2 linked regions of the Ovis aries genome follow. The protein of the gene in region 1 purifies or fractionates together with the protein of each later gene. This does not show direct contact. Links are inferred from orthologs where the notes say so. Each region holds a gene or a part of one and is shown on either strand. Other genes may lie near its edges.

Region 1 (16,113 bases):
TGGTCAGGGAACTCTAGATCCCACATGATGCAACTTAAGACCTAGCACAGCTAAATATATAAACAAAATTTTTTTTTAAAAAAAAAGAATATGCTTCCTGATGTTACATAAACAATAAAAGGGAAATCTGTTAAGCAAACATAAGGTTTTTTTCTCCCACCTTTAGAAGAATAATGGGGAAATCCTACACAAAGGCCAGGTTTACAACATGAGTTATTCACTGGACCTCCACAGACAGGGACTTGCTGAATAAAGCAGCGATGGTGGTGAGCCCTCAGGATGCCCATGGCTCTGTTGATGGGGAATTGTATTTACCAGCGACTGAGAGACCCTTTTCTAGTCCATCTTAACCTGCAACACAGATGTCATATGGCCAAGAAGGGCACTGGGGAAAACTGTAAAGTGATATTTTTCTTCATGCTTTAAAAGGGCCTCTGGACTCCTCCACACAGTACACACATAAATCAGAGGCCACTGTTGTTGAAGCCATTTGGCAGGGTGTTGAGCTTTTTAAAAAGTCTCTTTCATTTAAATTGTATGCTTCCCTTGACTAGATCGGAAAAGTCACAGTTTTAGTATGTTTCACAAAGCAGCAGTGCATCGTATGTATTAAGAGAGCTAAATGCCTGTTTTAAAAATGTGTTCCCAGAAGGCTAAGCAGACAATTGCCAGAATGACAGTGTGGCCTCGAATTCCCCACAGAATAAATTTGAGAGCTGTCATGAGACATTCCAGCCTACTTGGACTGCATCGATGATGCCCAGAAAAAGCAGCAGCCTCAGACCCTGTTTCTCAATCCAGTTAGCGCTTAGCAGACCATCAGGCTGTTCCTGCAGTGGGATGAGGCCATTTTAAATAAAAGGTGCTGCCTTTGTACTAATTAGCATCCGTCCTGTATTTTGAATTATTTTTGATGGTATCCTTTTCATTCACCTTATTCTTATTTAATTGTAAAAATAATTCAGACTTGTAATCACATGGGGTTCTTGAGAAAGAAAATAAATAATTTACCCTTGTATTCTGTGAGTTCAGATCCCTTCCCCACGTTCATTTCCCCTCTTTGAGAAAATGCGTATTAACAATTTGATACGTGTCCTTCTCTTCTCTTTCTGACTTAAACATTTCCTCGTATACCTAATATGAGATTTCTTTCTTCTATACTTTTTTCCAAAAATGAAATCATAACAAACTTAGCATACCCTGAATTTTTTAAAATTAGGGTGTAGATCTCTTTCTAAGTCAAAACATACAAGTCTTTGTCATTTGTTTTAATAACCAGATAACACTTCATTGAGTAGCTATGTTATGCTGCTTCTCACCTATTGAACATTCTGGTTGTTTCCAGTGTTTTATTATAGCAAACATTTGTTATTCCAATGTGAGCATGATTTTATAAGCCTCATTGCTCATTTTCCATTCAGTGAAGTTTGTTGCTGAAGAAGTGAAAAAGATAGACGCTTTCCATCTCCAGCTGTCATCGTGCACTTTTGTAATTAGAAGCCTCTTATACAGTAATAAGCTTAGGGATCTACATGTAGAATATCTGTTTATATTCGGAGCAGCCCTGAATGTCGCTTTTATATTGTGCCGGAGTTGTTTGTGGTTAGCTCCTGTGTGTTGATTCACTGCAGAGCAGAGGTGATCTCTCAGCTGTCATAATGTCCCATCTAGACCCCCTTCAGCAGCGAATCAGTTTCCTGAGTTTCAGCAAATCCAGTATACTGATGATAGAGTACCCCATCAGCCATGGTTTGCTAGTTTTACCTTGTTAGACGATGGCCTTAGAGTTCCATGAGCGAGGGAGCCTGGCTGTTAGCATGCACTCATTTAAAAAGTGTTCTGCGGATTTTGGAATTAGGGAGGGAGGGAATGATCCTTCAATGACATGAAAAATTTGCCCAGGTTGCCTTGATTGCTTAATATGCAATAAATGATGTTCCTGGCCACGCGTTTCAGGATTTGGAGTACTCAGGAAGAATTGTTATCAGTAGGATTATGAAAACAACCCATTTCTATACGTGCAAACAAGTCTGCTTATCAATGGGGCCACAAGGCCTGTTCCATCTGATCACATGTATCACTAGCGAGGGGAATGCTTGTTTTCCATGCTTTAGCCTTTACAAAATACAGTCGCATGGCAGAGCTGCTATACTCAAGGCTCTGGAATGAAGTATATGTGGTGCCTTTGCAGGTAATAAAATGGAAAATCCAATTTGCAATTTCAGAAGCAGCCTGTGAGTGACAGCTGATCTTAAGGGCAGTGCCGGTCAGAGGGTCACCACTCATCACGGCGCGGGCTGGCTCCCCACGTGGCCTGGGCCTCCCCACCAGAGAGCAAGCAGAGGGAATGTGCGTCTGGGAGGCAGCTAGCGTGTCCGTGGGTGCACCCCTTTCTAGCTTATTAGATCCTCTTTGTCACAGTGCTTAATCCTGCCGCCTGATCCTTGTTAGAACAGCACCCGAGCGCTACTCAGGCTTCTAATAAGGAGATGGGTGAGGACTCCTAACTGGAGCCAGCCAAGCGTGCGGCAAGTTAGGGCTCCCGCAGCCTGACTGACGGGATGCTGAGATGCTCCCTGCATGTTATTACTGCAGAGGGAACCCGCCTCAGACAGCTGATGGATGAGCTCGGCTGAGGTCGGAGGAACTTGTTGCCGGGCCCCCAGGAGCCAGGTGTCAGCTTTTCACATGGGATGATGGCCGAGCTTTCTTCTAATTATCTTAACCCTCTTCTGAAATTGCTGCGTTCGTTCAGAGGGAGGTGAGAAAGCGAGAGACACCAAGCCAGCTGGGAGGATCGCAGCTGTACGGAAGCAGGTACTACATCCTTCACCAGTGACATTAACTCAGAAAATAAAACAGGCATGTCCCCTTCCTCCGAGTCCACTTACAGCTCGTAGAGTCGGTGCCGGCGCAGGCTCTGGCTCGTGCGGTTTCCATCTCTGTCATCTGTAATAGTTGCCTGCTTTAAGGTGCGCTGTGGACCTGAAGCATGGGTTTCTTGGTTCTTTGTTAAGAAAAGAGCATAGCATCCACCACGAAGCTACGGTGTGGTCTTACCACCCGCCTGCCCAACACACACCCCATGTCAGTGAACATGAATCATGCTTTTCTGCTAGGCTTCCCAGTTCCAGTATCCACGAAGCAGCTGTGAATCTGAAGTTTGCTATTAAATCTGACTGAGGATTGTTTGACTCTAAGGTAAATAAATGGGGGTGGGGGAAGGTAACTCCATCCCTCCAACCTCCCCCTCCCCCAGCTAGAGTGCACAGATGAGTTTGAAGTGATAGAAATGAAAATGCTCACAAGCAGCCTCTGGTCCGTTCTGGGTACTCCGACTTTCATCAGTATAAGATTCCTCTTCCCCGAATCAACCAGGTCCAGCTTGCATCCCTCAGTTCTTGCGTGCTCCAGTTAGCAGGCGTCATTAGCGTCATCCTCTGGCTTTTGTGTCTCCATTGATAGTGCTTAAATAGAGACATGGCTGGGGACTGACAGCTCTCTGGAGGGTTCGAGGTCTCAGACAAGAGGGCCCAGGGTACAGAGCTGACCTCCTTTCTTGATGTTATTCCCCCAGGTCTGTTTTCCATATGTGTCAACCAGGGAGCGTCGAACTTAAGTACATTATTTTTAGAGGATTACCATTAAAAAGACTACAGGCTTAGTCAGAGGCTGTTACTAAGTGAACATGAGATGAAGTACCTTGGAAAGCAGGCTTGTAGGTTGCTGGTAGCAGAGTACAGGCTGTTCTTTCCTGTACCTGTATGTTGAGTTCAAGGATGATCCATTAAACCGGTTCATAACATACCTGTACTTTTGGATTAGTGGGCATGATGCCGATCAGGGTTCGTGTCCTTCTCCAATCAATAGAAACTGACTAGAGGCCAGACAAATTCAGGCAAGGCTTTATCGGGGCTCCCGTTGCAGCAGGGAGGAGTGAGAACAGGTGATGGGTTCCCTTGCTCACTCCCCAGGGGTGAGGGAGCTGGTTCCTTATATGGGGTGAAGACAGGAGTGTGTCCAAGGATCGGGCTGGAGGGGTGGCTTAGGGTTTTGCCCAACACTTAGGGGGTATTGAGTGCAGGGTAGGGTGCACAGCACCCTGCTTTTGCAGTTGCCAATACCCTATTTTTGCTCCAGGCTCTTTAGAAGTGGCAATAGGGCTTTTTTGGTCTTTGTGTATCTTCTGTCCATGTTTGCCCCAGCTGTGCTTGCACACACTTGCTTTTAGTCCCATATAGTTTCTTTGTCTTGTGTTCCTCCAGGAGAGGTATGTCCAGGTGGAAGCCTTGTAGCAAATGGCCCCAGAAGCCAGTCTGTCTCAGGCAAACCCTGCACCTGGGTGGGAGGGAGCTGGTGATGCAATCTAGGAAAGAAGAGAGTCATCTTCCTCTCCTGCTCTCCTGGGCAAATTTGGACAAACTGAGGCTTGTCTGTGAGGTCCTTCCGAAACTTTCCCTGGTCCACGTTGCTCTCACACTGACCCAGAGCCTTGAAAATACAGCAAGCCAAGAAATCCTCTGTGCTCCAGACACAGCTACTTCTCCTCTTTTGACCCTCCTCCTTCCTCAGCGGTTTTCTAAGTCATTTTCCTGTGATACGCATCTGAAGCAGAGGTTAAATAAGAAAGCAGTCCAGTTAAGTTAGTTCATGGTCATGTGTGTGAATGACAGAGAGTCCAGGAAGCTTGTTCATCAGATACACTCTACCCATGGGAAAGTTAGCCTGGAGTTTTCGTTAGACTAACCAGTTTCAGGGGATGAGGAAGAAAGATATTTAGAGCAGAGACACCTCTATCAGGGAAATCTCCTTTGCTTAGGAATTAGTTCACATCTTTATGTAATTTATGCTTTTCGTGGCTTTTTTTTTTTTTTGGTTACCCATTTTAGAAGACATATTTTTTCCAAAGGTCTCATTGATTATTTCTTTTCACAGTTGATTCCATGATATAAGTGGGCAGGGCTCGGAGGCAGGAAGAGGATACTGGGTAAGTGTAGGCTGTCAATTAGGTGAATGTTTTAAGAAAGAGGCTTTTACCTCTAGTAACCCCCCAACTTTTTAGAGAATTTCTGCCCTGTGGTTACTATCACCTGGTCACTTGGCCCTTCCCTCAGTGACCGTACTGCCTAAGGACACCGCACAACATAATATACTGTGCATTTAAAACACAACATGTCAGGAACTTCCCTGGTGGTCCAGTGATTAGGACTCTGAGCTTCCAGTGCAGGGGGGCACGTGTTCAGTCCCTGGTCAGGGAACTAAGATCCCACATGCCGAGTGGCACAGCCGAAAAATATTTTAAAAACTTAAACATGACGCTTCAGAAATACAGACTGGTTTGTAAATTTAAGACTTTCCCCAGAAACTTCTATTCATTTTTAGGAAATGTGGAAATTGGAGAAAAAGAAGTAATGAGACAATGATATGGACAGGAGGACATAGGGTATAGCAAATGAGGAAATGAGAGTTATAGCAAAATTTAAACAAGCGATCAATTTGATTTTGGGGAAGTGGAAAAGCTTGTCTCTTGTCCAAGTAAAGATGAAAGCAAAATATATGAACAGCAGTCCACTGCCAGCCATGTTACACCTTTGTAGGATACTTGGCTAAGCCCAATATGTGCAACATTTGCACTTCCACTTATCCCAAGCAGTCTTCTGACTCACGGTGTAGAGAATAAAGCCCGTTAATTTCCCAAGTGATTAAATATCTGACTAATGATGTTTAACCATTAAGTTGAGGAAATTGACAATATTGATAATCTTGGAGAGAAATGTATCTGCTTATTTTGTACTTAACCAGCAGATTTTAAATAGCTTTGGAAATATCATGATGGATTACTCCTACTATTTCATAATATCGGTTTTCTTTAAAAGCATTTTATGAAATAGGAATCACTTTTCCATTGGTCTGTTTTTCCTCTGTTATTCTGGATAGCTTCACATTCATTCAGGCACCCCTCTGATAAAACTGTAGTTTGCATTTCAGACCATCACAATAAAGCAGATTACTCAAGTTTGTTGGTTTCCCACGGCATATAAAAAGTTTATTTATACTATACTGTAGCCTGTTAATTGTGCAATAGCGCCATGTCTAAGAATGTACATGTGCTGTGTGCTGTGCTTAGTCGCTCAGTTGTGTCTGACTCTTTGTGACCCCATGGACTGTATCCCGCCAGGCTCCTCTGTCCATGGAATTCTCCAGGCAAGAATACTGGAGTGGGTTGCCATGCCCTCCTCCAGGGGCTCTTCCCAACCCAGGGATCAAACCCAGGTCTCCTGCATTGTAGGTGGATTCTTTATTGTGTGAGCCACCAGGGAAGGCCAAGGATACTGAAGTGGGTAGCCTATCTCTTCTCCAGGGGATCTGCCTGACCCAGGAATCGAATTGGGGTCTGTCTGTATTGCAGGTGGATCCTTTACCAGCTCATCTACCCAGGAAGCCCCAAAATGTACATACCTAGTTAAAAATTTCTCACTGACGGACTTCCCTGGTGGTTCATTGGTCAAGAGTCCACCTGCCATTGCTGGGTCCATCCCTGGTCTGGGAAGATTCCATATACCACAACTCAACCCGTTTGCCACAACTGCTGAGCCCGAGCTCTTGTGCCCGCGAGCCACAGGTACTGAAACCCATGAGCTCTGGAGCCTGTGCTCGGCAACAAGAGAAGCCACTGCAATCAGAAGCCTGCACACCACATCTAGAGAGTAGACCCCACTCACTGCTGCTAGAGAAAGCCCATGCATAGCAACCAAGACCCAGTGCAGCCAAAAATAATCAAATATTAAAAATTTTCTTACTGATAAAAACTGCTGACCATCATCTGAGCCTTCAGTGACGTGTAGTAGTAACATCAAAAATCACTGATCACAGATCACCATAACATAAATAATAATGATAAAAAGGCTTGAAATATGGGGAGAATTACTGAAATGTGACCCAGAGACACAAAGTAAGCAAGTGATGTTGGAAGAATGGCACCGACAGACTTGCTGGGTGTGAGGTGGCCGCAACCTTCACTTTATAAGAAATGTAATTAGTATGTGCAGAGCACAATAAAGTGAAGCATTGATACAGCAAGGTCTGTCAGTGTAACAAAAAGAAGGCAGAGTCAGAGTATCATCATTTGTTTTAAGAAGAAATACTGCATCACTGTCCTAGTAAACATTTTCTTCTCATTTCTGAAGTTCAGATTAGCTGGGAAATGATGTGCTTTGTAGAATGCTTGCATCCTTAGAGTATGTTTTCCATATCCTGAAGTTACTTGTTATGACAAAATTGGCAGTTGGAGCCTCAGAACAGGACAGAAATGGTACTAGGGTTGTGTCCTGTAATGAATAATTGCTAGGTGTCTGTGTTCAGAAACCTTAGACTGTAGACCAGGGGTCTGAAAATGGACTTCTTCAGTAGGACTTTGAGGGCAAGGATGTCGGTGAGCCAGCTGACTGCCATTTAAACCACACGCAGCTCTACTGTGTAGCATCTCTGTCTGTCTCTCTCGTAGGCAACCATGTTCTTGGAAGCTCTTTCTCACACTTCCCTTTTCCATTTTCAAAGACACCAAACAGAAATATATACATAATCAACTGATCCAGCAACACGTGGTACCCGATGCTGGCGCCCTTCATTAGCTCATGTTTGGTTGATCTAGAAATATATAAGAGATTCGGAGTCAGAAGGCCTAGATTCAAATCCCTACTCTGACATTTTCTGTTCTTAGAGATGTTACTTAATTTCCCCAAGTTTCTGTGGTTTTTCTTACCTGTAAAGTGATGTCAATTACTGACTTTAGGAATTGCTGGAGAATCAAAGGAGGAAATGCTTTTTACAGGTAATTTGTGAATAGGTAGGATATATATGTGTGCATTTCTACCCTTAACCATGTTACTGAGATGCGTTTAGTGCTGATTCTGAGATATGCTATGCTGCCCGAATGAGGCAGTGTTTTCATCTTTCTTCGCTTGTGTCCTGCTTTGATGAAAAGTGGTGTTGATTGGATCAGGTTTCAGTCTTACTGGACAGATGGTGCTGCACACTGTCAAGGTGAAATTGGGGGATGTCCTGATATGAGGGGTTCTCTCAATCCTGGAAGGCTGTTTTTGTTCCTGTAGCAAATACTGGAAGAAATGAAGCAAATGCTACATTTGTGTGAATTCCTTCCAAGTTTACTTCCTTCTTACCTCTTTTACTCCCTCACCCCTCTCTCCTTATCGCCTTCCCTTCCTTCCTAATTTCTTGTGTCAGTATGCAATCACTGACATGGCTTGTAGACCAGCAATGACTTGGGCTAAATATTTTTAAAACAAATGACTCAGAAGATGCTTAAGGTTGTGCTGTGGTTACTGGGCATGAATTACTTCTTGAATTTGATTTCTGTTGGTTAGATGACCTTCATTTTTTTTCTCTCCATCTTTTTAGGAAACTTGGATTTAACTGGTCAGAAGCAGATATTCAAAGCAGAGAACAATCCCTGGGTTACCCCTATCGCTGACCAGTTCCAGCTTGGCGTGTCCCATGTTTTTGAATACATCCGCTCTGAGACATACAAATAGTAAGTAGACTATGATTTTCTGAAATAGACTGGTTTTATGGTATTTATAATTATGCCAGCTTAACAACCACACATAGTAATTGTCTTTATTTATAGATTATTTTTCATTCACATTGTCAAGGGAAACTTATACTAGTTTTGTTTAGAAATCTTTTAAGGTATTAAACTGGCTGAATATTCATGGCACTAAGGAAATTAACCAGACACATTAAGATCAGAACATATTCTTTTCTCCTTTGAATGCAGAGAATAACAAATGTTGTGAACAAAATTGTTAAGTGGTTTATTTATAAAATCAGTAGAGCATACTAAGAAAGCATAATTCTCTTTTTTAATCGAAGAGAAACGATAAGACAGAAAACGAGGAGGGATCAGCTGGCTTAACTCACAGCATCAAAATCTTTCAGGTCCTTCCCTCGGGTCCAGGGCGCCCCTGGGGGGTCCAGCATTAAAACCTAGGTATTCCCGCCTCTCTTTTCCTCAGTGTGTTCAGGTGAGAAGGAATTCTGCCTCCTCCACTTGCTCTGTTGTTACTGTGTCTTCTGTTACTATTTTCTGCTCCTCCCACTTGCCACCCCCAAATTGAAGTGATCATTGCTCTCAGTGCTTCAGTGACCCTCTAATGCTGAAATCTAGCCACCTCTAGTTTTAAGCAATTGCAAAAAACTTGAAACAATTCATAGTCAAGTTTAATCTGTTTTTGTGTCCAGTACCAACTTGTGAGAATTTAACATCCCAACTCTTAAGAAGACCGTGGGGATCATTAAAGGCTGTAGTCAGTTTGGAGCAGTCCCTTTTTTCTCTCTTTTTTCCCTTTTTTTTCTCTTGAGTATCAGAGCTATCCCCTGCCCCCCGGCTCAACATGGCTTTCTCCAAATCTGTGTTGGAACAGTGGGTCAGATTTAACTGGCAGGGCAGAGTCCTGGCCCATGAACGGCCAGTGGTGGTTCTGATAGTATGAGTCCTCCTGCTGCCACGTTCCTGGTTACACATCTGGGACTCCTTTTGGTATATTTCCAGCAGACAGAATCACAGAGAAGGTAAACTGTGAAAGAACAATGATATTCAAGCAGAATAAACTGAAATTGCCAAAATGATGCATATCCTTGTATATGAATGCAACTTGAAGCCTGGTTTAGGTTTCTTTTAAGATGATACCTTAACTTTTTTTTTTTTTTTTTGACATCTTAGTATTTATCTTATGTCAAAATGGGAGATGTGTAGGGTCTGTGTTATTGTTTCATGAACCACATAGATATGAGCAATTATTATACATACATAGTTTTTTTTTTTAATGAACATAGCTCAGGGTTGGAAATTTGTTTAGTTCATCATGAAAATGTGTGAAAGTATAATTGCAAATTAGCTGTTTATTCGTTTGGTTTCTCTTAAATTCTTAATTGTTGCTAACATCAGTTTTAGATTAACCTCTAAAGTTTCATTAGTGAATGGAAGGTTATACAATGGTTTGGTTTGTAGGGTGGTATACTGTTAGAAAAACATTGTACATAATAACTACAGAAAAATAAATAAGCTACTGTTAATCCAGAATTGGGGGAAATACTCTGTTGTTTATTCTGGTTAATGATTTTTTATATCTACCCTAATTTAGAATTTATACTAATACACTAATTTAGAATTTACAGAGAATTAGAATACAGTGCATAAGAAAGTGCTTCTAATTTTCATTTCATTTTTAAGAGATTACACTGTGAACGTATGGCTTTTGAGTACGTTAGAGTCATTAGGCAATTAATCACCATTGTGTGCTATTACAGACAGTTTCTGTTTATTTGAACATTGTTAGGATTCTGGATAAAGGAGAGGTGTTGACTGAGTTTGTTGATACTTTATTTGCAAGGGAATCTGTGATCCACTTAGTCCATGACATGTCTGGTGTATATATTCTTGTCTGTTTCAATAGCATTTGATATTGGAGGATCAGAGTCATCTCAGCAGTTTGCCCACTGGCTTATATTTTACATGATTTCCTCTTGGAGAATTTTGTTATCTTTTGTCCAGTTAAATCACCATGAAACCGCTTAGAGAAGCGTGGGAGAGCCTTTGTCCCCTTTGTAGGGGTGCCAGTCAGTACTCTGTTCACTGATTTGAGAGGAGTATGTGCGCCTCTGCTGGGAGAATGCCCTTGACATTAAACTCCTGGGAGCAGGGACCTCCCTAAAGTGAATTCTCTTAGAGTTCTCCCCGTTTCTCCTCCTTGGGAAAGAGAAGAATGTTAACCACTTTCTTTATCCCAGCTTTCTGCCCCCCTGTTCTCCCAGTGGAGCAGTGACCTTCATTCCTTGATCAACATACCAGCCAGACACAGGGACTGTGAACCAAGGAAGACACTGCCTCAAGCGCTCAGTCTGTTTTCTTAAAAAATACACTTGTGCAAAAATGCCATCACTATGTTTTACTGATTTTTATAATTTAAGGTCCTCTTTTAGAAGAATATGTTTGTATATCCTCATGTAACTAGAAATCAAACTTCTTTCTTTTTAAGCAGTCACTTCATATTTAGAGGACTTACAGGATTTCTCAACTCTCTGAAAAATTAAATCTAATTAGCAGATATTTGGCTACTTTTGTAAAGCTGTACATGTGATGACTTGCACGGAGGCAGTTTATATGTTACACCGATATTTTTTTAAACAAGGCAAATGTCTCATTTGGTACCTTAGTCTTAGATCCTTTATTCTAAAACCTGTAGTTTCTAATCTTCACTTTCTCATCTCTTTTTATATAAGTCACGTACACCCCTTCCAATTAAAAAATCCTTTTTTTACTATATTGATCTTTAGCTTGTCATAAAAGCGTATTTTAATTTTTTATTCTGGCACTTGAAATACCAATGAATCTCCTTTTTTTTCCCTCCCCTTTCTAACCAATCGACCCATTACCTAAATGAGAGCATTAAGAACTCACCAGCTCATTTCATTTCCCTTCGTGTCCCTGGTTGAGGTTCAAGGTGACCTTCCTATTCCCAGTGCATCCTAAGAGGCCTTCCACGTCTTGAGCAGCGACAGTCCAGGGAAGATGAATTATCTCATTTCCAGACTCTAACAGACTCCAAGAGGTGACATGGATGTTTGAAACAAAACAGGGAAGTCAGTGTTTAGGAGGAATTAAAATACTTGGCAGGGATTTAAGTGGATGAGGATGGAACAGGAGGGGCTGTGGGCAGGTGTGGGCTGGGAGAGAGCTGAGAGGCAATTCTTCAGGAGGTTGTTTTGGGGGTACATTTGGGGCATTCATCGCATCCTGATGATTCCTCAGACGGAGCTCCCTCTGTTCATTTATCGTACTCTCAGCAAAGGGAGCATATTGGCTGGTGTCATCGCATTGCCCGCTCGTTGTCACTTATTCCCTCTGTCAAAGGAATTCGCTCCTTCTGGATGTCGCTCCTTCTGACGCTCAAACCCTACAAGTGTGTTAGCATTTTCGGGCTATTGTCGAGTAACTTCTGTTTCTGTGAGAGTTATGATCAGATCGGCACCGCTTGTTAAGCTTACAGGAGGCAGATTTTTTTTTTTTTTTTTTTTTGGTCGCCGAGAGGGGAAGTCAGATTGGAGTCAGGATCCTTGACAAGATTCTTTGTGAAAGGGAGTAACTCACACTTTTCACATTTCCATCAAGGAAGGTGGATGGAAACTGCAAGCCATTTTAAAAGCTGACACGTTAACTCTTAACAAAAGAAGAGGTTTGACAAATGTTAAGCAGAAACGGTGTCGGTTGAAAGCGACATTTGGAAAACAGGCATTCTCATGAAGCCTGCAATTTGTAATGCCTGGCAGTCCTAAAGCCTCATTTCCAGGCTGGCATAACTCAAAAGCTCCTTCCCCATCATTCTTCCCATCTTGTGACTTTCTTTGCTGTCCATCGAAAGGTGCCACACTCACTTGCTTTTCTCTTTTGTTTTTCAGTCCCATACAAAGACATTCATACTATTATTCAGGTTACTTAACGGAAACATTTTAACCAAGCAGTGCTTGGGGAGTGGTGGGCACTGATGGGAAAATGCAGGCAAATTTCTCTTCCCTTGGAAATCTGGCAAAATAAATCATCCTGTTTAGTTCATAAGGAGGAATAAGGACTTTGATTCTGCCTCATATTGTTTCTCAAGCTGTTTTACTTGCACAATTAAAACCAAGGAATGTCTTCTTTTGTTCTGCACCTTGGGCAAACCTATTAGAGGCCAGAGAGACCATGCTGTTATTGTTTAGTCGCTAAGTCTTGTCCAACTCTTTTCAACACCATGGACTGTAGCCCGCCAGGCTCCTCTGTCCATTGGACTTCCCAGGCAAGAATACTGGAGTGTGTTGCCATTTCCTTCTCCAGGGGATCTTCCTGACCCAGGGATCAAACCCACAAACTGGTGAGTCATGCATTGGCAGGCAGATTCTTTACTGTCTGAGAATAGCCATACCTGGGCTTTCTTAACTACTATATCCTGTAATGGCTGCTGACTTAGAAGGTCCTTACATAATAGATACAGCTGGTCTACCAAAAGGCTAAAAAATTTTGAACTTAATAGGTGATCCCATTTGTTTAAGATAGCCCTTTGCAGAAGGAAATCCTGTCTGATAAAACTCTCCAAACACTATTTTTCGGGTGAAGTATAAAAATGGATGCACTGCACAAGCAGATGGTTTTATAAATATCACAGAAGGCTGCAGAAGAGGGTTAATCTGCCAGGACCTTGCTAGCAGTTAGTGGGCCTCTTTTATGTAGTGACAATAGATATGCAAGAAGACAAAGACTTTTCCCTTTTCTTACTGTATCTGAAAATAGCTCTACCTGAGCCAGAGAAGCACAGTATTTCTTTACATTAGTCATGAAAAAGAAGAACCAATTTTTCCTAACTAACGCCTTCAGACATAAAGATTGTTTTTTTTAAAAGCTGACTGTGTATCGTGCTCCTGGTAATTTATATTTCCTTTATAGATGCTACATGTGTGATTGTGGTTCTTTCTTTAAGTTAATAAATGGATTCTCACATTTCCTCCATAATACAAAAAATGATTCAAGCTTTTGACATTTCTGGACCTGTTTGCATGCAAATGTGTTCATTTAACAAACCTTGCTAAGAAATACCAAAGAGAAAAAGGAAACCCATAAAATATGTTATGTTTTGGATGGTACCACGTCAGATCCCTTATTTCATGTTAACTTTCAATGATGAAAATTATGTATCATTCCTTTTTCTCCAGCTAGTATGTTACCAGTATAAGGAGTTGACAAATGTTAATTCCACTGAGTTAGGTCAGGACAGAACAGAACATCAACCTTGGTCTTTGACTTGGTCCATCATCTCTTTTCTTTGTGTAGCCATGAGCTCTTAATTGCCCTGGTAAATTTATCTCTCCCCTCTTAAGGAAGAAAACAGATTATGTGAGGTAGAGTACAGGACAGTTCTTTTTCTCTTCCATTTTTGATAGATTGCTTACTGTAATTTGCATTTAAAAGGAGTTCAACTTTTCTGATTTTTAAGTTGTTTAGCACTGTTATTCAGATGTACTTCAGGGATCGTTAGTATTTTTCCTTTTTCTTAATGCATGTCCATTTCTTCAGTGTATAAAGTACGTACATGCCTTTTGAAGCTTTCCTATAATTTTCTAACTCATGCGAAACAGTTCAGTTTTTAAAGTGGACAGTGCTGCCCATTTGACATGTCCAGTGGACATGGAGCCTGGGAGGGAACCTCCATCCCCTTAAGCTGTAAAGGTCAAAGGTGAACTCTGCCAGGGTTTGGAAACCAGCTTCAGGAGGCTAAATTGGAATTTCTGAAAGTATCCAGGAAACACCATTTTGTAGGTGTGCTAAAATGTCGTTCACTCTGACATGCCTTAGATGCAAATACAGACTTTGGAAAAGACTCCCTCAAGTTTGTGTGTTCATTCTCTGGTCCTGTGAGGCAGTCCCTCCTCAGCCACTTTGTGCTGGGTGAGCACTGTGGGATCATATTTGACCAATGAGCTGGGGTTCTGTCAGTCTTTTTGCACTTTATTTCACGACTAGGGCAGTTATCATGAAATGAGTCGCAAATAAATTTAGAGGGGCAAATGGGAAAAAACGTAACTGCTCCATCAAGGCAAGAAGAGTGATGTTTACTCTGATCCTTATGCCACAAGAGACTTTTATGCGTGATTTTAAAGAGCGAAACAGCCACGTCTGTCTCTTCCCCTCAGTGTGCATTTCCCCCTTCCTTGTATATTGACTCTCAAGCCTGCCTTCAGCCTGTCTTGTGCAGCTGCAGTGTACAATATGATGTATTACAGTATCAATTTAAGGTAAATAGAATGCAGGTAATTTGTCCCTCTTGACAGAAGGAAAATAAACATAGTCCAGGCTCCATCTACACTCCAGAAAGGAAATCTGTCAGGTTACTTCCTCTTCCAAAATAACTATTTTGAGTTACATTTTTAGATGATACTCACTTGAAATGATCATATCGAACTATGAAATATTGACCTACTCAAAGATGTGGTCCACCCTACATATTGATAACCTTTATTAACTCCCAGCAGTCTTCAAGTTCAATGCTGGATGCTTTCTGTCCAGCTAAGATGAGTTATTGCCTGCCTTTGCTATTTTTATTGGAGAGATAAATTAATAAGTGGCACTTTATAATCAAACAAAACTGTCTAATTTCTATTCTCTACATGGTAATATCTTACTTTATTACATGCTGACTTTTTATTGAGCTCTGGTCTCTTATTCTGTTCAGGCATTGTTGGGGTTTTGTTTTTTGTAATTTTTGACAATTAAGTGTTCTCCTATAATGTTAGATACTATGATTTAGAGTGAGTAATCTTATGAAAGGCATTTTTGTCAACTTAATCAGATAGAAAGTATAAATATGAGTTTTATGTCCACTGACGTTTACTGATATCCAATTTATTCATCAACTATTAAGGAAAGAACCCTCTAGATTTTGTTCTCTTGTGTTTGACTATATCATTTCATATGTATTTTTTAAGACTCATGATGTAAAAAGTTTGTGGTCAAGACAATGTTGTGTTCCACTGTCATAGTTTTCAAACAGTCTCATCTGGAACCCATACAGTTTTATCACCTTCAAAATGTGTATGCTCTTTTTTTTCCTCCACCCAGTGACATAGTGTGTGTTTAGAAAAATACATAAATTGTTATTGAGGTTTTGGTTATTTTATTTAGCAGGGTTACTGAGTAAGTACCCTGCCTTCCTCTTTTCTTTTTCCCCTGCTGCTACCTAATTTTGTCTAATTTTGGCTGTTTTAGCCACTGAGCAGAAATTTATTATCTTAACAGCTCTAGAAGTCCCAGGATCAAGGTGTGAACAAGGTTAGTTTTTCTAAGGTTTAATCTGATTACCGCAGAAAGACCCTGCAGTCTTCAAATACGGTCACATCTAGAGTAACAGCACCGTCCAGCTCCTAACATTGTTGTGACTCCACCATATCCAGTTCTGTGTAGTTTGTTCCACCATCCCGTCCGTCTTCTCTTGCAGCCCCCGCAGCCTCATTGTAGGCACAGTCTCTTTATCAGTAAATGTGTTTAAATGCCTCTGGGAGGTCTAA
Region 2 (14,956 bases), on another chromosome or scaffold:
GGGATCCGTAATTCCCACATACTCCTGTGTTCTCACAGTGAACTCCTTACTCTTTAGCTAGCCCTAACGACTTTATGCTTTCTAGAACCAAGAAGCCTTCATCACAGCAGGGTTGAGCCGAGTTTCATTACATTTTGTTCTTGAGATGGAGTAAGGGTGGTACCAGGCCCTGGGTCACAGTCTGGCTGGATACAGTCTTCAGAGTACTGAGTCTGGAGTTTAAGATTTGCCGCCCCGTTCAAGGGGGGCTCCAAAGGTCACCTGCGCTTGTAGAGACAAGGCTGAAGCTTCAGGCCTGAGAGCTGAGTCTTGGGCCCTACCCGAGGGGGCCCGGTCTTTTCAAAGTCAAACAAGAAGAAGTGGCTGTTGGTCAGATCCTAGGGACAGAAAAGACCCAGTGAGCTCTAAGTCCTCACCCCAGCTCTTCAAATCACCTCTGTCCAGGCCCCACCCCTGCTCAGAAAGCTTCCCAGCTCTCTCCCACTACTCAAGCCTTCAAGGAGCAAACATCTCTGTCTGACAATGACCTCCTTCCTGAACACCATTATTAGCCTGAAGGGCCACCTATATGACAAAAATAGGACAGACTTCCTGGGGCCCTCACCTTGGAGATGACCTTGAAGCCCAGTTTGGTGACAGCCCCCAGAAAAGTCCGAACATCTTCAAAGCGGCTGCTGACCTCAGCCACTTTCAGGAGACCCCTGAGAAGGACGGAAAGTTCTGGGTAAGTACACCGACACGCGCATGTGCACACAGTCATGCAGCTGTGTCCTGGGAACACCTACCCTGGCTTCAGCACTCGATTTGCCTCCTCCAGGAAGTCTCTGATGTTGGTTCCCATCAGTGAAAGGCAGAACACAGCCACATCTATAGATTCATCCTCCAGAGGCACCTGTGGAGAGTGAGAAGGTTGTACTAAGCACACATTATAGGAAGGAGAAAGCCAGCACTGAACGCTAGGAGTAGACACAAGGATGCAGGGTGGGCAGAGCGCATTTCATGGAAGGAGAGAGGGGCTTACCTGGGCCATGTCACACACAGTGACCCGGGGGTCCAGAGAGGCCAAGTCAAAGCAGTGTACACGGTTCCGGATACTTGAAGCCAGGCGGCAGTCCCCACAGCCAAAGTCAGCTACCACTAGGGACGCAGGCCTGGGAATGGAAGGGAGGAAGAGCTCACTGGTCTGGTCTGAGCCTGGGACTGACACGCCTAGCTTTTCACAGCGCCCGATTTTCACTAACCGCTGGCGAAGATCCCTGGCGATGCGGTCTACCGGCTGCAGTGGCCACTTCTTGACTTGGTTCTGGAAGCCACGGTGGTAGAGGAGAAAGGCCTCAGGGTCTTCCTGGAAGAGGCGCTGCGCAGCACTGCTGGGCCCTGAGTACAGCTGTTCATTGAGGTAGCGGAACCGGGCACCATCCAGACGCTGGGCCATGCGGGCTCGAAGAGCCTCTGCCCGGGCTCCATGGCTGTCTGGACTGGGGGCAGAAGGCACCTCTGCCTCCTCTGCAGAGGCTGGGGCTGGGGCCTGCTCTGGTGGCTGAGATGGCCGAAACTTGTTCTTCTGTCTACGCTTGTTCTTCTGCCGGTTCCGCCATTGCTTGCGACTCAACGTATGGGGAGGATTAGAGGAAGGGGTCTCACAGGTTGGCTTGGTGAGATCACTTGTAGCACTAGAATTCCAAGCTTTAGAATCTGAAGAAAGAGAGATAGAAAGGCATACTGGGGAGCAAGATACCCTGAATTCAGAGACTTAGCATGTCACCCTGGCCATACCCCTGTCCCTAAGACAGAAACTGTGGTCTATGGGAAAGTACTTCTTATTCCCTAACTCCACACCTACTGGTGGCAGAGGAACTCTGTTATAGGTAGGGTCAGCTGAATCCCACACCCCCAGCCCTCATCATCCCACAAATACTACCTGTTTGGTCAACACTGTCCAGGGGCTGGGCAAGATTTGAAGGGATCTGTTTCTGGCATTTCCTCTTTTTTTTCTCTTCTTCTGCCAGGTCACTGCCAAGAAGAACCCCTTTGTGGCACTTCTTCCTTTCCACTTCCTCTTCCTTGGAGTCACTGCTAGGTGGGCCCTGTTTGTGACGTTTCTTCTTCCTTTTCTCCTCTACTTCACTAGACGCACCAGCAAACAAGCCCTTTTTCGTGCGTTTCTTCTTTGTTCCCACTACCTCCTCCTCCTCCTCAGAGTCACTGCCAGGCAGGCTAGGGGGCTGCTGGGGAACAGATGCTACCTCCAGGGCCCGTAATGTGGCCAAGAGCTGGCGGCGGTTGGCGCCCTGGGGGAAAACAAGGGATGAATGCAGGGGTGAGGAGAATGGATGGGGCCTAGGGAGTAAGAAGAGAGATGGGGACCTCACTCAGATGCTGTAACGAGGCATCTGGATTATTCTCAATCAACTTACCTAGCCTAACACGAAGACTGTCAGGGCCTGAAGAACTTTCAAAACTGCCATCCCAACCTTTGGGAGGCTGGAGAGCAGAGAAACCACCCACCTCACTTTCTTCATTGGATAGATGAGGTGATGGGGTTCCCAGAGAAACACTGTAAGGCCACGAGCTACAGGACCGAGGCTAGTGACCGGGAGTTCCAACTCTCAATCTCAGGTTTCTACCTCTAGCTAATACCTTTTTATAAAAAGTAGGAAGATTTTTGAAAATAAGAGTGACATGATCACACATGTGTGTATTAAAGATGCCTCCAGTTGCAGTGTAAAGAACCGAAAGAAAAAAAAAAAAAACACTGAAAGAGACAAGCTGCAGACAGAGGCCAGTGGCGGGGATTACAGCAGTGGGTCGAGGGGTTGAAGAGGAGAGAATAAAGCAGGCAGATTTCATGTCACAGGCTGACTGAAGGACAGAAAGAGCCTGAGCAAGTGCAGCAGCCCTCACATCGGCAGAGGCTTAAAGGAGGACTACTGTCTGGGAGGCCGTTCTGGACTAAGTCCCACTGGACGGATCCCTCATCCTGGAGACTCTCAGTACTCCCTCAGCTCCAGCTCCCTTTGAACAGCGGCACTGACAGCCCTCGTTGCCATTCAGTTTTGCTCTTTTCAATCTCCACACGGCAACCAGTGACATTTTCAAAACGCAAATCTGAAGAAATCATCCCCCTGCTAAAACACTCCATTGGCTTCTATCTTTAACGTGCAAATATTCTAACGTAGCCCTCCAATTTCTACCACACTGCCTCTCATTCTGTGTCATGCTCCCTTGACCCGGGTCTCTCCACATGCCTTTCCTTCCAAGAAACCCTCTTTGCTTCACTAACTTCTACTCACCAATTCTCTCTCAGTTCCAACGTCACTTTCTTTTGGAAGTTCCGGATCTGGGGAGGCTGCAAGCGGCCCCCCTCCCCCTAATTACACACGCGGCGCGCCCCAGCTCCGGAATCCAGCAGTCTGTTCTGAGTACTCCTGCAGGGCCACTCACCTTGATTTGAGAGGTTGCCGTGGGCCGAAGCCCTAAGGCTACAGACCCGAGGTCCGCGACTACAGGGGCCTCCTCGGCCCACTCCGGCTCCTCGAACATGGGGCTGGGGAGCGCAAGGTTGCGGGATCCACCCGCTTCTCCACGTGCAGACCACGTCTCTAAGAATCAGACCGCTCAGAGACGCCGGAACAGGGCAGGAAACCAAAGAGTGAGAGCTGAAGTGGCTAGAGCAGCCGGCGCAGTGCCGAAAACCATCGAGTTTAGACACTGGTGGGCTAGAAGGGCAAGGAAGGCGGGAGGGAGGGGCCGGGAGAAGGAGGCCCGCGCTGGCCTGAGAGGGCCAGGGGCGGGGCCGGGCGGCGGGCGCGGCCGGACGGGAGTTCCCCGGAGAAGGCTCCTCTAGCCCGAGTCCCGGTGAGTGTGGGGGCACCCGTGCCCCCTCCCCAAGGCTCGAGCTTTACCAGGCGGTCACCCCTCCCTCCACCTACTCGGTTCCGAGTCGGGAACGAGGGCCATCCTCGGCAAGGACCTCCGATCGCCTCCTCCAGGGTATACGGCGCCTAAACTCCCCACCCCCACCCCCCAGCTCTGTTCGCGGGTAGGGTCTCTGTGCTTGCTCTCGTGACATCCCTTCGGAAGACACTACCTCTTCATCAACGCCTACTTCGCCCGATCCGCCTTTCCCTCGCGCTCAAGGGACACAGTCCAGGACCATTCCGCTGCCTCCCTAACTCCTTACAGACATCCAGTAGCTGGGGACGCAGAGCCCAGACCCCCAGCCCAACACCACACTTCTCTCCTGTAGGGGACAAAGCCTGGGGCTCACCCCCCCCCCCCCCAAGATCCTTCTACAGTTCCCACACTTTCCCAGTCTAGGGGACTCTGCCGGGACGCTGCTATGGACGACATTTTCACTCAGTGCCGGGAGGGCAACGCGGTTGCGGTCCGCCTGTGGCTGGACAACACGGAGAACGACCTCAACCAGGGGTGAGCTGGGGTGGCTGGGGGGCGAGAGGAAGGGCAAAGACATGCTCCTCTCCGCTCTGTGGGGTGCTCACTTCTGGTGCGGGCGGCTTACTTTCCTATTCAGTGTGATGAGGATTAAACAGCCTGTCAGCGGGGCAGAGGGTCTCCACACCGGAAGCTGTTGTTTGAGCTGAATCTTGACTGAATAAGAATTTACAGGCAGAATCTGCAGAGTATTCTAACTTCAGTGAACCTCATGGGCAAAAGCTAGGGGGCAAGACACGGAGCAGAGAGTGCCAGAAACTGTCCGGAGCTCCATATGGCTAGAGGAGAGAAAACCGCTGGGCTTCTGTGGGCTAAAGCTCTAAGCACAAGTGCAGAATGACAGAAGTTAAGACTGGAAAGGTCTGCAAGGGTCAGTCAGATCATGCAAGAGTATTTAGGCTATAATAATTTTTTATTGCAAGGGCAAGGGTTTAGAGCCATGTAATGGTACGATGAGATTGTCCATTTGTTAAGTGTCATCTTGGATGCTTTATGAAGAGCAAGTGGTGATGTGAAGAGAGGCAACTAACTGCCTAGTCCATCTCAAGTGGTGATGGCTTAGACTAGAATTGGGACAGGCAAAAAAGAAAAAAGTGATCAAATTCCTGAGATCTTTTGGATAAAGAATTGGTGAGACTTGGTGTGGAAAGTGAGGTCAAAGATGATGATCAGGGTTCTGGCTTGGGTAGATAGTGGTTCCTTTTATTGAGAAGGACAAGGCTGAAGGGTGGTGAGTTCCACTCTGCACACATTTAAGTGACAATAAAGTGGATGTGGAGTGGGCTGCTGGATTTCAGGAGAGATCTGACTTGGAGACAAAGATTTGGGCGATATTAGCATGACTGGAGAAGGCAATGGCACCCCACTCCAGTACTCTCGCTTGGAAAATCCCATGGACGGAGGAGCCTGGTAGGCTGCAGTGCATGGGGTCGCTAAGAGTCGGACACGACTGAGCGACTTCACTTTCACTTTTCATTTTCATGCATTGGAGAAGGAAATGGCAACCCACTCCAGTGTTCTTGCCTGGAGAATCCCAGGGACGGGGGAGCCTGGTGAGCTGGTGTCTATGGGGTCGCACAGAGTCGGACATGACTGAAGCGACTTAGCAGCAGCAGCAGCAGCAGCATGAAGATGGGCTTCCCAGATGGCTCAGCAGTAAAGAATCTACTTGCCAGGGCAGGAGCTGGCAGGAGATGCGGGTTCAACCCCTGGGTCTGGAAGATCCTCTGGAGTAGGAAATGGCAACCCACTCCAGTATTCTTGCCTGAGAAATCCCATGGACAGAGGAGCCTGGAAGGCTGGTCCATGGGGTTGCAAAGTCAGACATGACTAAGCATGTACACGCATGCACACACAGACACACACAGCACGTAGATGGCACCTGAAGAGGTGGATATGAAACCGGATGAGAAACCTAGAAGACCAAACAGGAAAATATGCTGCTGCTGCTAAGTCGCTTCAGTCGTGTCCGACTCTGTGCGACCCCACAGACACCAGCTCACTAGGCTCCCCCGTCCCTGGGATTCTCCAGGCAAGAACACTGGAGTGGGTTGCCATTTCCTTCTCCAACGCATGAAAGTGAAAAGTGAAAGTGAAGTCGCTCAGTCGTGTCCGACTCTTAGCGACCCTATGGACTGCAGCCCACCAGGCTCCTCCATCCATGGGACTTTCCAGGCAAAAGTACTGGAGTAGGCTTAAAGAAGTGAATGTTTCAATGAAAGGAGTGGTCAGTGGTACTCTAGATTGCTAAGAGGTCAAAGAACTTGAGCACTAAAGTGTAACCATTGAATTTACAATTATTTATGTATTTAATGATCTCTGTGAGAGCCGTTTCAGAGGAAAACAAGTGAAAAAAACCAGACTATACTTGGTTCCTTCATTTAAGGAACTATACTGAACACGCACTGGGTGCTAGAAGTCCAGAATCAGGCATAATGCTTGTCCTCAAGGCAGTGGTCTCCTGGGCAGGTTGAATGTGAAGTAGAGAAAGTGAATGTAGACAAGTTCTTTAAGGTTGGCTGAGACAGGAAGGCAAGAAAAGCAGTAGTGATGCTGATTCAGGATCGTAGAATTTTTTTAAAGTGAGGAGAAAATAGATTTTAGGTTTGAGAGTTAAGGATCACCTGTCACTTTCATCCAGGCTTTATGGGTCCCCATTAGACTCTACGCTATTTCTCTATAATTCACACTCGTTCCATTTTTCATATAATTCTTCAAACGGTGCTCTGATAAAGACAGAGAACACAGCTACTATTTTGTTGGTGGCATCATAAAGGTTAGGTAACTTTTTCCAATGAAGCTGGCATCAAAGAGTGGTATTAGTGAAAGTGGTGCAGGTATGAGTGGAAGGGCTTCGGGGCCCCAACTGGGTATATGGTGGATATTAAGTAAGGGTCAATTTCCTGCTGGTCGCTTTGGGATTAAAGTTCAGGCTCTGAGGTGACCGGAGCATGGCAGTGGGCAGAACCCTTGTGCCCATACTTTTGCTGTCAGGCTCTGGCCTTCTCTGGGGCCACAGACCGCCAGAGGCTGATAAACTGGGGCACAAATTAAAGAACTGGGATGCAAAACTGACTGATAAGTAAGGGGTGGTGATTGCTTTAGGAAGAGGGAGGGAATACCTCCCAGAAAAGCTTTTGGCTATCTTTGTGAACAGATGAGGGCAGCTGTAGAGGGAAATCAGTAAGTTAAAGGTCACACCCACCACCCATTTTGGCTTTGAGGACATCTGGATTGCCTGGGGTGACCATACCCCTGATCAGCTCCAGGCCCCGCCTAGAGCCCCCACACGGGAAGTGACCGCAGCACTAAGGCATCCGGAGGCTGACGGCCCAGACCACGGACCGCCCCCTTAGCTCCGCCCCTTGGATCTGCAGCCCAGGACTGGAGGGAATTTCCTTTTATGGCCCCAGGCTGTCAGGCAGGCCTAGTTTCCACCCAATTGTGGTTTTGTTGTTGTTGTTTTTTATACATTTAACTTTATAAAATAGAGAAGTTCTTGGGAAAAGAAAAAAGTTAGGTACAGCTTTCTAATTAAGTCATTCTCATTTTCTTGTTTTCTGTACCTAGGATTGCTTAAGAATCCTGTCTTATGTGGCGGTATCTGCCTCATGAATGACTTACCCAAAGCATTTCTCCTTTTCATTATAAACCCCTCCAAACCATCATTTTAATTCCATTCCCTTTTTAGATTCTAATTTCAGTATCAGAACCAAAACCAATCAGTAAACTTGCTTCCTCTTCCATAAACTGTGGCTTTTCTTCTCAAAGCTTCCCTTCCTTCCTATTAACATGCACTGAACAGCTGCTGTCAATTCTCAAAAAGCTTAGTCTAATAGACAAGACAGCCCATTTAACAGATTTTTACAATCCAGTGTGACAAGTACCTATGTAGTAAGGCAGTGTACAAGATATGGTGAAAACAGAAAAGAACCAACAGATGTTGCCAAAGGGGTGCAGAGGAAACCAGATGAAGAATGTTACCATTTAATGATAGAAGGTGCCTGGGAAGAAAGGCTAGAGGGAGATGAAAACAGTGAATCATATGGAATTGTTGGGATTTCAGGTAGTGGTTGGTTGGGTTTGAAACTCGGGAAGGTCTGGACTGGACAGCTTTGGGAGTTGCTGGCATGAATGAGAATCAAAGTTCTAGAGGTAAGGCTTCCCAGGGAAGAGTATGCAGAGAGAATATTAAAGTTTTTCCTGTGTCAAAGCCTTTGCCCCCATCCCACTTCCAAATCAATGACCCTTGCGCCTTCCTCATAGGGATGATCATGGCTTCTCCCCCTTGCACTGGGCCTGCCGAGAAGGCCGATCTGCTGTGGTTGAGATGCTGATCATGCGGGGGGCACGAATCAATGTGATGAACCGTGGGGATGATACCCCTCTGCACCTGGCAGCCAGTCATGGGCACCGTGATATTGTACAGAAGGTATGTATGAACCCCTTGATGCACATGCCTGGAAGTAAGACACAGGCATTATAACATAACGTACAAAGTATGTGTACTCATCTCCTTCCTTCCTTGCATGCCTTAGTACACTTCTCTCATTTGGGACTGACTGTACCTTCTACCTCTTTCTATTTGGCTATGGGCACCAGCTGCTACAGTACAAAGCTGACATCAATGCGGTGAATGAGCATGGGAATGTGCCCCTGCACTATGCCTGTTTCTGGGGCCAAGATCAGGTGGCAGAGGTGAGTACTCAGGCCCTGAACTCTGGGATGGGTGGGAAGAAGTTTGAGCTTGAGTGGGAGACTCTGGAACCCTCAACCCATCCTGTGAGTACTGTCCTGTGTGCAACATTCACAAGGTTTGTACTGCATCTGCACTCATGCTTAGTTGGGAATGCCCTCATCACAGCCATCTCTTAATTCCAGGACCTTGTGGCGAATGGGGCCCTTGTCAGCATCTGTAACAAGTATGGAGAGATGCCTGTGGACAAAGCCAAGGCACCCCTGAGAGAGCTGCTCCGAGGTCTGTCCCCACCCACCGCTGTGTCCTCGTCTTGTCCTAGCCTGTCTCTTTCCACACAACAGCTGAGGTCAAGACTTTGTCTTTCTTCCCCAGAGCGGGCAGAGAAGATGGGCCAGAATCTGAACCGTATTCCATACAAGGACACATTCTGGAAGGGGACTACCCGCACTCGGCCCCGTGAGTCAGCTGTGAGGGGAGGGGTGGTGAGAGAATAGTCCTGGACTCCTGGGGCTGGGAAAGAGGGAAGCTGGGTGCCTGACCTGCCCACACTCTCAGGAAATGGGACTCTGAACAAACACTCCGGCATTGACTTCAAACAGCTCAACTTCCTGGCGAAGCTCAACGAGAATCACTCTGGAGAGGTAACTCCCCACCCCACCCTATTACCTGTTGTGCACCTGTTTTAAGTCTCTCCTCCAGTTAGTGGGCAAGAAAACAGTGGCCTTAGTTAAAGCCTTCTAACCCTTATCTGTCCCTCAGCTATGGAAGGGCCGCTGGCAGGGCAATGACATTGTCGTGAAGATGCTAAAGGTTCGAGACTGGAGTACAAGGAAGAGCAGGGACTTCAATGAGGAGTGTCCCCGGCTCAGGTGGGGCAAGGCCTAAACTGGAAGCCTTGATTTCAAGGAGCCCTGTCAGCACCCAGAGGGAGATCTTTTATGCTGGATCTCAGCCAGGGGCATTCTCTCCCTCTTCCAGGATTTTCTCACATCCCAATGTGCTCCCAGTGCTTGGTGCCTGTCAGTCTCCACCTGCTCCTCACCCGACCCTCATCACACACTGGATGCCATACGGATCCCTGTACAATGTGCTACATGAAGGCACCAGTGAGTAGGGAGTGCCAAATCTCACTGCAGCAGGGTGTGGGGAAGGAAAGTCTGTGAGCCTCTCCAAATGATTTAACTCTTGCCTTCTCACTTAGATTTCGTTGTGGACCAGAGCCAGGCTGTGAAGTTTGCATTGGACATGGCAAGGGGCATGGCCTTCCTACACACACTAGAGCCCCTCATCCCACGACATGCACTCAACAGCCGTAGTGTAATGGTGAGATCACAACTTCACTCCCGGCCCAAGCCCCAGAGGTCCTTTCCCTAGAATAGGACTTACCTCCTTCCACACAACTATCTTCTCTTCCTCAGATTGATGAGGACATGACTGCTCGAATCAGTATGGCCGACGTCAAGTTCTCCTTCCAGTGCCCCGGGCGCATGTATGCACCTGCCTGGGTGGCTCCTGAAGGTGAGTGATGGCATTATGATGTGAGGCAGAGAAGGGGCAGCTCAGTAGTAATGGAAGGGAACACAGACAGGACAAGCAGCTGGAACAGATAAGTCCTATCCCTCTAGCTCTGCAAAAGAAGCCTGAAGACACAAACAGACGCTCAGCAGATATGTGGAGTTTTGCAGTGCTTCTGTGGGAACTGGTGACACGGGAGGTACCCTTTGCTGACCTCTCCAACATGGAAATTGGAATGAAGGTGAGAGCATAACTGGATATACTTGTGGTGGTAGTGACAATAATTGTAGTGGGGCTGGGCTCCTGCCACATTGATTCAAATACACAGAATCCTGTCCTGAGGGCTAGACGTCTCTCCCGACATGAGACTCAAGTTCTGAGACTCACCTTGTTTTTCCTTGTGTTTGCAGGTGGCATTGGAAGGCCTTCGGCCTACCATCCCACCAGGCATTTCCCCCCACGTTTGTAAACTCATGAAGATCTGCATGAATGAAGACCCTGCTAAGCGGCCCAAGTTTGACATGATCGTGCCTATCCTGGAGAAGATGCAGGACAAGTAGAGCTGGAAAGTCCTTATCTGAACTCCAGAGGTGTCAGGACACGGTTAGGGGAGTGCACCTCCCCAAAGCAGTAGGCCTCTGGTTGCCTCCCCTGCCACTAGTCATGGTACTACCCCAGCCATGGGGCCCATCCCCTGCCCCCATCCCTACCACTGTGGCCCCAAAAGGGAATGGGCTCAAAGCTTTGTCACTTGCCACACGGTGTCTCCCAGCATGGGAGGGATCAGCCCTGCCTGTCACAATAAAGTTTATTATGAAAACAGGCTGGTGTGGGGACAAGAGAACAGACAAGTACATTTAGACTGGGTGGCTCAGGTGAAGTAGTGCGGCTTCTTCACATTGATGCCATACTCGCTGAGGGCAGGGGTCAAGTCCTCCATGGTTAGAGTGTACTTGCGGTCCTGAGGGAAGAGGGAAGAGCACCAGCTGAACACAGGAATTCCAGATTTCAATCCCAGGCAGGTGACCCTGAGTAGGTCTTTCACCTCCCCTAAGGCTTAATTTCCCTCAAAGGGGTTTCAGGATAATTTAAGCCTCTGCTGCTGTAGGAAGTAATTACTGAATCAATGAGCCTCCCCTCACACCTTGCTCTTGCTTCGGGAGCTGCCAGAGGCTGTGCCCTTCATTTTGCAGTGCTGTAGGGCATCGTTGGCAATATCTGAGATGAATTTCTGGGCAGCTAGGGAGATGAGCCGAATTCTGGAGAGAAAAAAATGGTATGAGAAGAGCATAGACAATAAACTCCACACAAACACCCAACACTCTAACCTGCCCAGAGTTTACTCACATGCGTGGGTCGGAGGCCTCAAAGCCAGCACGGTTCAGGTAGTAACCAGTCACTGCATCAGGGATCTGAGAAATCAATTAGACGACTGTAAGCGTTAGCCCTGTGTACAGCGGGGCTGAGAGTCGGGGTAAGGGAAATGGAGGGCAGGCCTGGCTATCAGGAAGCTCCCAGTTTGGGTGGGCAGAAGGGAAAAATCACAAAAGCTAGGAAGAGAAACACAAGAGGATGCTGCAAATCCAGATGGTGTGGCAGAAGTTGGCGTGACAGCGAGTCATTAGCCTTGTTCAGGCAGGAAGCCCACCGTAGGCGTGTAATCCTCCAGCTGCATCAGGAAGTCCACTAGAGGCGTGCTGGACACCACTGGCTTCACCTCTCCGTTGGCCGCGCTTGGCAGCACGTAAACCCCGTTAGACATGGCCCCCTCCGGGGGCGCCGCGCCGCCGGTCGTCACTGGAGCTGGAGGAAAACCAGCAAACTGAGACACGGAGGTGGGAGGCTCGAGGGTTCCGCTAGGTGTGTCTTACCCTCTGCCCTCACCCGCCGCTGGGCCCAGCCCAAAGCGCGGCCCTCGCCCTCACCCGTCCCGGCCCTCACCCGCCCCGCGCCGCTCGGCAGGCTCCCCGGCCCGCGCCGCCACGGCTCCAGTGCCCCCTGCCGCGGCTCCAGCCCCAGGCCCCCCTGACGTCCCCGCGGGGCTGGCCTTGTTCTCCGCGGCGGTGCCGGCGGGCAGCGCGGCGGGGGCCGAGACCGCGGGCGCCGGGCCCGGGGCCGAGGCGGCGGAGGCCGGCGCCGCCTCGGGGTCCGCGCCGGAGCCGCTGCAGCTCATCGGGCCGGTGGGAGAGGCGGCGAACAGAGCCGCTTCCGCTTCCGTTCACCTTACGCACACACCAGGGGTGACGTCACGCGCCCCACGACTCGTTCCTCCCACGCCACGTTCGCTCCTCCCTTAGGCCTCCTTCCTTTATTCCCCGCCCATCCAGCCGCTACCTGACAAAGGCGGGAGGGCGGAGACCAAGTGTTGCGGAACTGGGCTGGCGCGGACATTTCGCGTCCGGACCCGCGGTTCTCCAGTGTGGATCCGCTGGGATGGGAACCCCTCAATGTCGAGGATTCTCTTCTATGGGCTTGAGGCCCCCTCACCCAGCCTGACGTCTAAAATTCTTGCTTTGATGCTCATCGCCCCGACACCTCTCTACTGTTGGTCGCCTGCGTGTCTGCATCTTTTCTAAGTTCCTTTATCCAGCCTTTTAAGGGTTTGTAGTGGAGTTGAATAGCCTCTTTCCCCGCCAGCTGCCCAAAGTGAAGGTAACCGGACAGCTGACACAGTGCTGCTGCAGATGGGGAGAGAGGTACAGTCCACCGTCCGTATAGGTGGTGAAGGGTTGGTAGGATTGGTTCCGGGACTCCCCCGACTCCCGTCCCCAACCCATGTATACCAAAATCCGTGGATGCTCAAGTCCGTTATATGAAATGGCATAGTATTTGCACTGTATACTCTATATAATCTCTAGATTGCTTATAATATCCAATGCGATGTGAATAGTTTACTGGTGCATGGTAAATTCAAGTTTCGTCTTTTATAATTGGAATTAAAAAATATATATATCTTCAGTTCACGGTTGGGTGAATCTGTGGATGGAGAACCCGAGGATACAGAGGGATGGCTGTCTTTCAGTCTTAATAAACAATTTATGTAAAATCACGGCTAGTGAAAGAGTGGGGTTTTCAACACAGCAAAAATTTATTTTTGTCAGTCCTGAGCTAGGGTCTGCAAATACAGAGTTAAGTAGGAGAAGGTTCTACTCCTCCGGGCACCAGTGGTCTTGCAAAGGGAGGCATTAACAGTTAAACTTGCCATTTCACCAATATATGGGAGTTAAAATACTGGAGGTAGACACAGGGTGTGCAGTGCAAGGGAGGAAGGGAACTAATAGTTGCTGCCTACATCTGTGTGTTAGGCATTCCATTAAGTTTATTCCACTTAATGATTTCCTGAATATTAGAGGCAGGTATCAATATCCTCACTTAACAGATGAGGAAAAAGTCTCCAAGAGTTGAACTTACTTCCCCCAGGCTCTCTCTAGTCTATATCAGAACCAAGAATCTAGGACTTTTCTGTCATACCCACATCAACTAGCTTCAGGGAGCCAAAAGATTCACAAGAGGTGAGCTGAGTTTTGAAAGAATTCTGGACCTCAGCCAGGCACAGGAAGCCAGGGGTAATGTTAGGGCACAGAATATCTTGAGCAACAGTGAATGAAAGTGCATGGAGGGGAGTGTGGGGAGACCGGGAAGGGTAAACAATTTGTTACTTGGAAACAAATAGCAAGTAAAGAGATAGGTTTGTAAGTCATGATAAAAAGCTTGACCTATATCCAGTAATCTTTGAAGGCTCTTAATTAAGTAGATGACCTCATGAGATTTGCTCTGATAGTTGGTTTTGGGGCTTCCCTTGTGGCTCAGTGGTAAAGAACATGTCTGCCAATGCAAGATACCCATGTTCCATCCCTGGGTCAGGAAGAACCCTGGAGAAGGAAGTGGCAATCCACTCTGTATTCTTGCCTGGGAAGTCCCATGGACAGAGGAGCCTGGTGGGTTATAGTCCATGGGGTTGCAAAAGAGTCAGACACAACTTAGTGAATAAAGAACTGGTAGATGGTTTAGGGAAAGGCAGGATGTAAGGGCACTTCTTGCAAGGGCCTCAATTCAGAGGAGCGGGAATATGGCTCACAGCTCATGTAGTAGCAGTGGAGCTGGAGAGAAGTAGATGAATTCAAGATACACTTTGGAAATATAATTGGAAGAACTTTTGGGTTGATAAAGATGTATTTAAGAGATAGAGTCAGTAGGACTTGTTGACAAGGAGATGATGGGAGGAGGTGAAGGAAATGGGAAACTTGGATGATACTTTAGGTTTCTGGCTCAGTTGGAAGTGTCAAGCATAGTGTCATTTATAAATAAGAAAAGAGAACAGTTTGGGATTGGGAAGAACGGAGATGAACTATTGAGAATTACACATCTTGCTTTTGAGGTATCAATCCCTGTAGGATGGAAAGTCCGATTTAGTGAGATGGTGATGGCTGTGGATGCCAGTCATTGATTTGTTTCAGTGGACAATGAGTCAAGTGAGAAGAGCAAAAGACAAAGGATAGAGCAAGGATACTACATGGATTAGGTATGATTAGCATTTACACAGTTGTACCATTGCAAATCCTGTATGCAGCTCAGACAAAAATAGAATTGTATCGAGAGGACAAAAGAATGGGTGGTGCGGATTTTGAGTGATTGGGACAAGGAAGAAGAATGATCACAAGCTAATAGGAAGTCAGTAATGGCTATAATTGGGCAGGGGGAAATCAATAAACAGCAACATAAGCATGTTATTTAGAGATAAACTAGTGGTGGAAAACATGCCTGCCAATGCAGGAGATTTAAGAGATG

What was found.
Region 2: the proteins of RSU1 (region 1) and ILK purify together in Homo sapiens (affinity purification with mass spectrometry; 9 studies listed by BioGRID and IntAct, counting the BioPlex papers as one, with this or other methods). This does not show direct contact. The link is inferred for Ovis aries from reciprocal best matches to the Homo sapiens genes RSU1 and ILK.

Annotation. Positions count from the first base shown.
Region 1 is NC_056066.1:30,545,666-30,561,778, reverse strand, and holds part of RSU1 (ras suppressor protein 1), read left to right. Parts: intron 1-8,418; coding exon 8,419-8,551; intron 8,552-16,113. UniProt on the Homo sapiens protein: Potentially plays a role in the Ras signal transduction pathway. Capable of suppressing v-Ras transformation in vitro.
Region 2 is NC_056068.1:46,194,367-46,209,322, reverse strand, and holds ILK (integrin-linked protein kinase), read left to right. Parts: upstream 1-3,805; 5' UTR 3,806-3,993; intron 3,994-4,315; exon of another isoform or gene 4,316-4,320; 5' UTR 4,321-4,342; coding exon 4,343-4,431; intron 4,432-6,239; exon of another isoform or gene 6,240-8,220; coding exon 8,221-8,386; exon of another isoform or gene 8,387-8,414; intron 8,415-8,556; coding exon 8,557-8,652; intron 8,653-8,835; coding exon 8,836-8,932; intron 8,933-9,025; coding exon 9,026-9,109; intron 9,110-9,208; coding exon 9,209-9,294; intron 9,295-9,412; coding exon 9,413-9,522; intron 9,523-9,631; coding exon 9,632-9,759; intron 9,760-9,854; coding exon 9,855-9,976; intron 9,977-10,039; exon of another isoform or gene 10,040-10,071; coding exon 10,072-10,171; intron 10,172-10,278; coding exon 10,279-10,409; intron 10,410-10,578; coding exon 10,579-10,728; 3' UTR 10,729-10,991; downstream 10,992-14,956. Other genes in the region: RRP8 (ribosomal RNA-processing protein 8), read right to left, coding at 258-377, 605-701, 786-892, 1,022-1,151, 1,242-1,695, 1,922-2,291, 3,445-3,543; TAF10 (transcription initiation factor TFIID subunit 10), read right to left, coding at 11,040-11,129, 11,313-11,427, 11,516-11,580, 11,817-11,971, 12,110-12,341. UniProt on the Homo sapiens protein: Scaffold protein which mediates protein-protein interactions during a range of cellular events including focal adhesion assembly, cell adhesion and cell migration.